Regions from separate parts of the Mus musculus genome. Here region 1 is reported to be linked to region 2. Evidence: microRNA targets listed by miRTarBase, many of them from high-throughput screens and not tested one by one. Region 2 holds a microRNA gene; the other region holds the end of a gene's coding sequence.

Region 1 (4,390 bases), not on the chromosome of region 2:
TTAGGGCAGGGTTAGACTTGATTTATAATGGGACTTTTAACTTTAAACAAACAAAAAATCTAGATGTGCTCAGCACATAGTAAACAAGCAACCAATTGACTGAGAAGTGTGTACTGAACAGCTTATGAGAGTAGAATATCAGGAATCAGCAAGACATTTTCTCTGTGGGGAGAGAGGACTTCTTAGACCACTGACTACTACAAGGTTATAAATTCTGCAGCTCTAAACTCGGGCCCAGATCCAGGTCACCAAATGACAAGGCATCTACCATGTCCCATGTTATTAGACATGGTGGAAGAGGGCTGGGTTGTCGTCACCTTGGCTTGGAGCTGTAAGAGTTGACATCTACCACAAGTGGGTTATTCTGGAAAGCCAGCAGTCACACTCCAATTATCTGTTTATACTTTCATGGACCTAGTAGAAAACTTTGTGGTGTTAAGTAAGATCACCAGGGGCTGCTTTGAACTTCACTTAACTCTTAATTAAGTGGTATAGAATATGTGGGTGTGTACAAATCTCATTCTCATTTACACACACACACACACACACACACACACACACACACACACACACACACACACACACTCCAGGAAGGGAGTCCAAAATTAGTGATTTGTATTGGCACCTTCTCAGAGTACAAACATGGTAGCTGGGTTTCCTAAAACATGAAGAGTTGCTTTCTATAGTAATGAAGCAGGAGATATTTAGATAATGTTAGAAGACTACCATTACCTCCAACTCTGTCTAAAAACTTTACACTCTTGAAGGCCTTTATTTTCCTTTGTGGGGACTGTACCAAAAATCCAGCTCCTGGAAGGAACAATGAATACTTACAACATCTACTAGAGCAGAGTACTAAGGCCATCTTGATGTCTTTGAAAAAGAATTCCGAGTGTGAATGGGCATACTACACTGGGGGAACTGAAAGCCTTTCTCTCTCTCAATCTGTAGGTGAGTCATGGTGTGGGGCAGAGGGCTGACTGCAGAGCAGGGAGTGCTGTGCTCAAAACTGGTTCCATTGTTTGTTAGCAACTACAGACAAGTGACTTGTCCTCTGCACATCTACAGAGGCTCATTGCCTGTACTAAGGTTACTTACTCTTACTGGCTGTTAGAGCTGAGAAGTCAAGCACTTCTTGGAACTGCCCTAGATAGATATAACGGTATCAAACCAAACCAATGAACAAATTACTCTCAGCACTCAGAAACTTAACATTCAGAAGGTATCCAGGACTTGTTTGGAGGACCCAACTTATTTTAGAGACATTCATTACCTGTATCACTTGATGATTTGGGCAAACCCTGCTGTCCACAGTCTGTCAGGACACATACAACTCTGACAATCTTAACTCACACTGACCTGGAAAGGCAAGAAGCTTCGTTCACTATGGGGCACAAGGCCAAGTAAGAGGTCATAGCTTTGAGGACGAAGCTGATACCAGTACAGAAAGTATTCTTGTTCTTACATTGATAAATGCTGCCACTAGGAACTTAGGGATCTGGGCTAGGGGCTGCTGTGCTGTGTTTAATGCTTTTCTGGTTAAAGTTTTATCAGTGTTGAAGACAGCAGGAGCCCATAAAGTGAATCTGAAACCCTTACTAAGTAAAGGGAAAATGCTTTCCTTGAGGATTTCAGAGAGATGGTAATTTAAAGAGACAGGTTGGCAAATCTTATATTTCTGTTTATAACCACTGCATAAATGCTTGCATTCCCCAAATACTGATTTAAAGAAATAGCATGATTGGGTGGAGAGGCAATGATCTGTTCATTGCTAATATAAGGTCAACATGTAAAGATCAATGATTACTGAGAAAGACAAGACAAGCTTCCAAACTGTCAAGTCTTTTCAATCTTGTGATAGTTTACACTCTTTCTACAGTGGCCCTTCTTTTAAAATTTTGGCAGAACAGGATATCACTGGAGGTTGTCAACTCAAGATGTATTAAATTCTCCAGTCTTTGCAGACAGATGGTAAGACACCAAAATTGTCTAAGCCATCTACTAGCCACCAGCTGGGGAAAGTATACATATTTTTAGATCTCACACTCCGCTCTGCCCCAATATCCTTGTATGTGTGGTGAGTTTCAGTAATCCTAGCCTACAGCAGAGTGGCTTGGCAGTTTCCTGGCCTCAAAGGGATAAATCATTTTCTAGCATGCACAGGGCTGAACAATGACATAAATAGGACTCCTACAATAAGTCTATGCTGTTTCTGCCTCAGAACTATCCTGTACATACACATGTTAGCTGCCCCTAAAGCTTTGTGATAAGTACACAGGCAAGCTGGCTGACAGGAAAAGGGAGATGTACTACTCCAAGGTGGACTCCTTGGATCTGGAAGTCTAGACCTTGATCAACAGCAACCCCAAGGCTGCCTGAATCCAGTTCAGACAAAATCTCAAAGTGAACATGGAAATACCACACAAGCAGAGGAGATAGAATCACTGTCCACTTACAAATATGAGTTTCCTTCCAAGTTTCCTATTTTAGTTTAGCACTTTAGGTGTATGAACATTCTCTTGTATAACATAAGCATTTGTTCCATTAAAAAATATGGTCATCTCTTGACTTCAAATCATTTGGAAAGAAAAACTGATGTCTCAAGAAGATGTGGTGCTTGTGAGCTTGCAGTTAGTTGGGTATCTCCCAGCACACTTACTACTTCCTGGATCCTGAAAAGCATGGTTGTAAGAGACTGTGATCTGGGAGTGTGGGAAGGCCAGGAAACCCAGCTCTGGAGCATGCCTGGACATGCTACATGAAGAGAAAACTGGGCTGTGTGAGGTGAGCTGACGGCCTGCTGCAGGGGAAGGGAGGATTCCAATTATAGTAAATAGAGGAATGTTTGCTAGCTGCCAGGGAGGGACAAGGATTCCCCTCACAGTGCACTGACCACCATAGACTAACCTCGGAGTGAAACTGCTAAGTTTTACAGTGACAATCTCCACCTGCCAATATACATGCCAGCCTTTTATGTTGTGACAGGCCTGTTAATCCACACAGCTGGCCGAAGAATTCTGGGTTTTATCAGATGCTTTAGTGACCATTTTGGAAAATTGAGGCAATCTGAATTCTGAAACACTGATTTCAACCTTTAATCAGATTTCTGTGCCTCACCCCAGTCCTTAAGGTCATTTCCTTTCTACCTTTTCAATCATTTTCCCATTTCCACAGCACTGAATTATGAAACTTAAGTCCTAGATAACCTCACATACTAAAAATATCTTCTTTCTAGCTCTGGACTCTTTCTCCAACCCTATTTTAACCCAGTTGCCCTAACACTTTTCACAGAGGCAGAACTGGACTATGACAGACTGCCTATTGAGTCAGTTTGGCCCCACTTGGCCACATTTGCTTTAAGCTTCAGTACAAACAAAGTGGGTTTGTTTTCTGTTTGCAGGTAAGGAAAACTGATATCCTTTCGAGATGTTCTAGAACCTTCCTAAGGAAGTGATAGTGTTGACTTGCACAATATTCCAGGGGCTGGCTTTCCTGAGTAAGTTCAAAGCAGCCATTGGGGGGTTAGCTGAAGAGCCCTCCAAGTTGATCAAAAGGGCTCTTCCCATGACCTACCACAGAGAACAAGAAGCACACAGTCAGAATGCATACAACCCCTGGTCCCTTGGGAACATGTGTGCCTGCTGTGGATCTGGGGACATTTCCAGTAGAAGAAGTTTGTTGCCTGGCAGCTTTCACAGATATCAGAAGCCATTACATACACGCTGTCACACACACACGGGGAAGGGGCGTTTTCTGCAGGGAATGCTAAGTCTTCATGTGTCCTCTTCTTCACTGGCACCGCTACAAAGGAAAAGGAGAAGCAAGTGAGTTCAAACGTCACAGAAAGGAGGCAACGCAGTACAGGTTGACAGCTTTGTGCTGCTTCTATCATGACTGAGCAGTAGGCCCACAGCAAAGTGTCTTAGTTGCTTTGATTTCTGATTTCTAAATTTAACTACCGTTGTCATGAAAATTTACAAAAAAAAAAAAAAAAAAAAAAAAAGGACTTACTATCTTGGGTTCTGGGAGAATCAATTAAGAACACGTGTAAAATACACAATGCCCAGTATACAACCAGTAAGTAAAAGAGCAGGAAGATTGTCAGACTGAATTTTAAAATTTTAATTAACAAAATAAACTGCTGGTAGAAACCAGTTTTATTTCCTCTAGGTGTTAAGACATCTATTATTAGATCAGAAAACCAATCATCAGCAGCATCAGCAGCAATCAATCAATTGCACTTTGCCTTGGGCAGAGCCAAGGTCTCATCCACGCTGTAGTCAGTCTCTAGGAAGTGCTCTACCTCAACAGGTCACTGGGTCATTCTCTGTGTACCTTCCTTCCTTCTTTGCTCTTATTGAATTCTATAGTTTGGATCTTATTCTCATCC
Region 2 (4,390 bases):
GAGGACAGTGCCAGTGCCTCATAGACCGACCCAGGGCATAGCACTCTACTCATGTGAGCATAGGTTCCTGGCTCAACCTGCTGACTTCAGATTCCTTCTATAAAATCACTGTCTGCTCATTTCCTAAATTCATGTTTACCTGTTTTATGTCAGGCTCAGCTGCAGTGGTATCAGAACAGCAAGCCCTGCCTTCAGGGAGCTCACTCGTCCTGAGGACAGGGTTCACACCCAGGGTTCACACCCTTCAGGGAGCTCACTCGTCCTGAGGACAGGGTTCACACCCAGGGTTCACACCCTTCAGGGAGCTCACTCATCCTGAAGACAGGGTTCACACCCAGGGTTCACACCCTTCAGGGAGCTCACTCATCCTGAGGACAGGGTTCACACCCAGGGTTCACACCCTTCAGGGAGCTCACTGGTCCTGAGGACAGGGTTCACACCCAGAGCCCAGAGGGCACCCATGACCAACTCCCCACTCCTGCTCCTTTCTTATTTCAACCCAGGACACACTAGAGTCTGGAAGCACAGGGTGACATGTGACTCTGGTACAGAGGAAGGTCATGAGCGATCACCGTGTTCCTTTTCCTGTGCTCTTAATATCTTCCAAAACAAAACAAACAAAAACTAAAAAACAAACAAGCAAGCCGAGTGTGGTGGCGCACGCCTTTAATCTCGAACCAAAGAGGCAGAGGCAGGCAGATCTCTGTAAGTACAAGGCCAGTCTTGTCTACAATGAGTTCCATGACAGCCAGGGCTACAAAGAGAAACACTGTCTTGAAAAAGACAAACAAACAGAAATGCTGAGGTGGGCATTCCAGCATACATGGGAGGAAGACCAGGAGTTTTAAGGCTAGAGTGAGCTACAAAGCAAGATCCATCTCTCAAAAACAAAACGGACTAAGGATGTAGCTCAGTGGCTCTAGGTGTGAGGCCCCACGTTCAATGCCAGACACACACACACATAGAGAGATAGGAGGAAAGGGCCAGCAACAAGATGTCACAGTGAATAAAGGCAGCTGTCACCAAATCTAAAGACCCGACTTAGATCCCTGGGACCCACTTGGCAGAGGAAAACAAACTCCTGAAAGCTGACCTATTTGTCCAGCCACAAATGTAATTTAAAAACAAACAATAACAACAAAAAACCCCAATCACACAACGGCCTTGTCAGTTCAGTTTAGAAACTAAGAAAAACCCTGAGCAAGACAAAACCACAGTGCTAAGTGTCAGGGAGGCACAGCGACAGCCTAAGCAATGCCACTCTCTGTTCCCAAGCTTGTCTTTAAAATATCACCACAAAGGGTGGTGGTCAAGTCTGTAATCTCAGCACAAGGAAGGGCAACGCAGGACTGTCCCAAGTTCCAGGCCAGTCTAGGCAACAGGACAAGACCCTGCCTCAAAAAAAAAAAAAAAAAAAAAAAGTCACCAACAAAACCACACCGTAATTTCAGAGTCCCATGAGAATGACTGGCCATTTGTCTGTGTGCACAGGTTCTATTGGAACATTTATCCTCTGCTACCTTGTGGGTTGGTTTTTGGAGTCAGGCTCTCCTGGTGTTGCCCACATTAGTCTTTTTTTTTTTTTTTTTTTTTTTTTTTTTCCGAGACAGGGTTTCTCTGTGTAGCCCTGGCTGTCATGGAACTCACTCTGTAGACCAGGCTGGCCTCGAACTCAGAAATCCGCCTGCCTCTGCCTCCCAAGTGCTGGGATTAAAGGCGTGCGCCACCACCGCCCGGCCCACATTAGTCTTGAACTTAGGGAGAGGATCCACAGTTCCTCTTCAGCCTACCAGTTATCTGAGATGCACAGTCAAGGATACACTCATAGTTCCTCCAGTCAGCCTCAAGGTAGGTCATGGAAGTTGGGTACCATGTCCTCTGAGCCCAACTCACAACTGAGAAGGGACAATGTGACTGTGGCCTGCCTCAGTGGAGTCACAAGCCATGTTCTTCCAGGCACTGGGACTGATGGCTGCCAAAGACTAACTGTACACAAGCCCTTCCCTCCACTCCACTTCTAAAGACATGCAGAGAGGGAGGTTAACGTGTTGGGGCGTCGAGTCAGAGCTGACGCTGGGTGTCCTGGGAGCTTCAGCTAGATGGCCAGCTCATGTGCCCAGAACCAAACGCCTGCCTTTCCACTCAGACTCAAGCTGGGCACCAGGCTCACCAATGGAGCTAGCGAGGAGCCGCCTCCTAAGAGATGACTCCCCAACTCAAAGACACGCAAGTCCACTCTGACAGCTGCTGGCCAGCATGCTCGATGCTCCTATGTGCCCCCTCCCTTTTGCTCTACGAGTGTATGAACTAATTTGTAACTAATATAAGCATCCTTCCTACCTTCACTACAAACAGCGTAAGTGATGCTAGCAGCTTAGCTTGGTGGCAGAATGCCTGCTGAACATATGTGAGGTCCCCAAAGTCCAGTACCCAGCATCATACATTAATACCTAAATACAGTTGACTTTCACACAATTTCAAGACCACCCACCCAACACAGTGCAGGCCAACATACCTGTCTTTCCTGTCCTCCAGGCCCTGAGGCGGGGAAACAGGCTGGGCACAGGTAGAGGCATGGGGTCCCTGTCACCGATGCGGACCTCAGCCACCAGCTCTAGCATGTCCTCACTTCTGCAAGGCAGAGGAAATGGTGAGCCCTAGCAGTGCCATAGCTCTCAGGATAGGGTCACCCCACCTTCAGCTGTCCAGGTTCTTACTCGCCAGGCTGAAGGTCCAGGCGGCTGGGAACCCAGGTGTCCGGGGGATCCAGGATGCTCACCAGCTCCACAAGGAAGCTATCTGCAGCTGTGTCCAATACCTGGAAGGGGCCAAGTTGGACTCTGTTCTGTGAGTACTCAGCCCAACCACCTTCCTAGTTCCAGCCTCTCAGGACCCACCAATCTGCCACAAGAACCTTCTGGAATCCAACCAACCTTATCTCACTGGTCTCTAGGAGCCAGCTTAGTCAGGGATCTGGTCCCCAGACTCCTGTCACTGCCCACCAGAGTCACACCAGACCCAGCAGTTTAGATCCCCAGTTCCTCTGTCTTGCAGGCCCCAGGGTGAAGGCTGGTGGACACTCTTACTCACAGTGGCCGTGTCAGCAGCCCCTGACTCCTGTGAACGAGGCTCTGACCGAGGACTCCGGCAGCAGCGCCTCCATCGTAGGCCACGACACCGAGCGCCATCTGGATAGACATTGAAGTAAGCTGGGATTCCATGTTGGGCTTTGCAAAGCACAGGAAGCAGGTCAAGACGTAGCGTTTGCTGAGGGAGCACCTGCCACCTCCCAGTTTCTGCAGCACCCTGGGCTCCCCCAACTCAATCTGGGATGGGCTCACCAAAGGGCATGTCTCTGCTTGGCCTGTGAACCCTGCCCAGTCCTGGCTAAATGTCTCCTGCCTCCCAAGTGACCTACTACCCTGATCACCTCTAGTCAGCCCAAAAGCCACACTGGGTTCCCTGCCAACTAGGCCTTCCTCTAGACAAACCCAGTACCCTGGACACTGATGACGCTAGCACAAGAGAAGCACCCAGGACACCTCAGAAAGAAGAAAGATAAGAGCCCAGAGGAAGGCAGAAGCCTAAGAGGACGAGTGGGCCTCATACCTTTATCATTAGGCAGGTCTCCCTGAAGGGAGCTTCCCACAGCCTGCTGAATGGCCCGCTGCAAAAGGGGAAAAAACAAAAATCAGGGCCAAGACCTCTCTAACTTCTGCTGTTTGGAAAGCACATTCCAGGCACCCGGCAGCCAGAGTCCACAAAGAACCCCAATTCTTCCTGAAGGCCTGGTTCAGGGCCTGAACCCCCAGCCCATACTTCAGAGCATGAGAACCTAGGCCTCCAGGCCTCACTGCACCCAGCTTTCTTACCAAAATAAAGGCAGAAGGAGAAAGGGCAGGATCTCTGTCAGGTGGACCGTCTCCCCGATCCTCTCCCGACTCCTCTGTTTTACCTCGAGACTCATCTTCCTCCTCCATGGTCACCTGGGGTTGAGGCAACAGTTTGAAGTGAAGGCTGAGGGAGGCAGGTCAGAGGTGAAGGAAGACCTCAAGGGCCCCCAGTGCATCCTGCTTTAGTGTCCCTCTCTTCCGCCTCATTCCTGATGACCTTGTCCGTGGTCCCACGCTGACCTGCAGGGACTAGAGCCATTCTTATCCTTCTTCTGGATTTCGGCTGCCTCCCCATCAATGGGAGGACCGCTCAGCCACCTGCTCCAACACCTGGCCCTCCACTGCCCACAGCTTCCCAATGCTCCTAGGCAAACCTCCAATTAATTACCCAACCCAGTCAAATAGATGCAAACTCAACCCTGACTTCGGGTGTCATGATTTTAAGAGCGTCGTGCTTCAGTCTCAGAAAGCCACCTTCCCCACAGCGGGGAATGTGC

What was found. Region 2 holds the annotated microRNA mmu-miR-7054-5p (UAGGAAGGUGGUUGGGCUGAGUACU, at 2,851-2,875, opposite strand). A microRNA usually pairs through its seed, bases 2 to 8, with sites in the 3' UTR of a target mRNA and lowers its output. Matches are read on the target gene's strand: a 7mer-m8 pairs with bases 2 to 8, a 7mer-A1 pairs with bases 2 to 7 and ends in A, and an 8mer does both.
Region 1: miRTarBase lists Trim44 as a target of mmu-miR-7054-5p. Seed matches in the 3' UTR shown: 7mer-m8 at 589-595.

The regions. Positions count from the first base shown.
Region 1 is chr2:102,300,704-102,305,093 of GRCm38, forward strand. It overlaps Trim44 (tripartite motif-containing 44), which reads right to left. Exons shown (of 5, transcript NM_020267.2): 5 at 1-3,801. The coding sequence ends at 3,774. Among named protein-coding and RNA genes, the nearest start is that of Gm34268, 56 kb to the left of the region's middle.
Region 2 is chr7:45,009,608-45,013,997 of GRCm38, forward strand. Mir7054 (microRNA 7054) reads right to left here and starts at 2,880; the gene lies at 2,819-2,880. It overlaps Scaf1 (SR-related CTD-associated factor 1), which reads right to left. Exons shown (of 11, transcript NM_001008422.1): 2 at 3,873-3,986; 3 at 3,610-3,667; 4 at 3,091-3,188; 5 at 2,718-2,818; 6 at 2,516-2,631. The coding sequence starts at 3,980.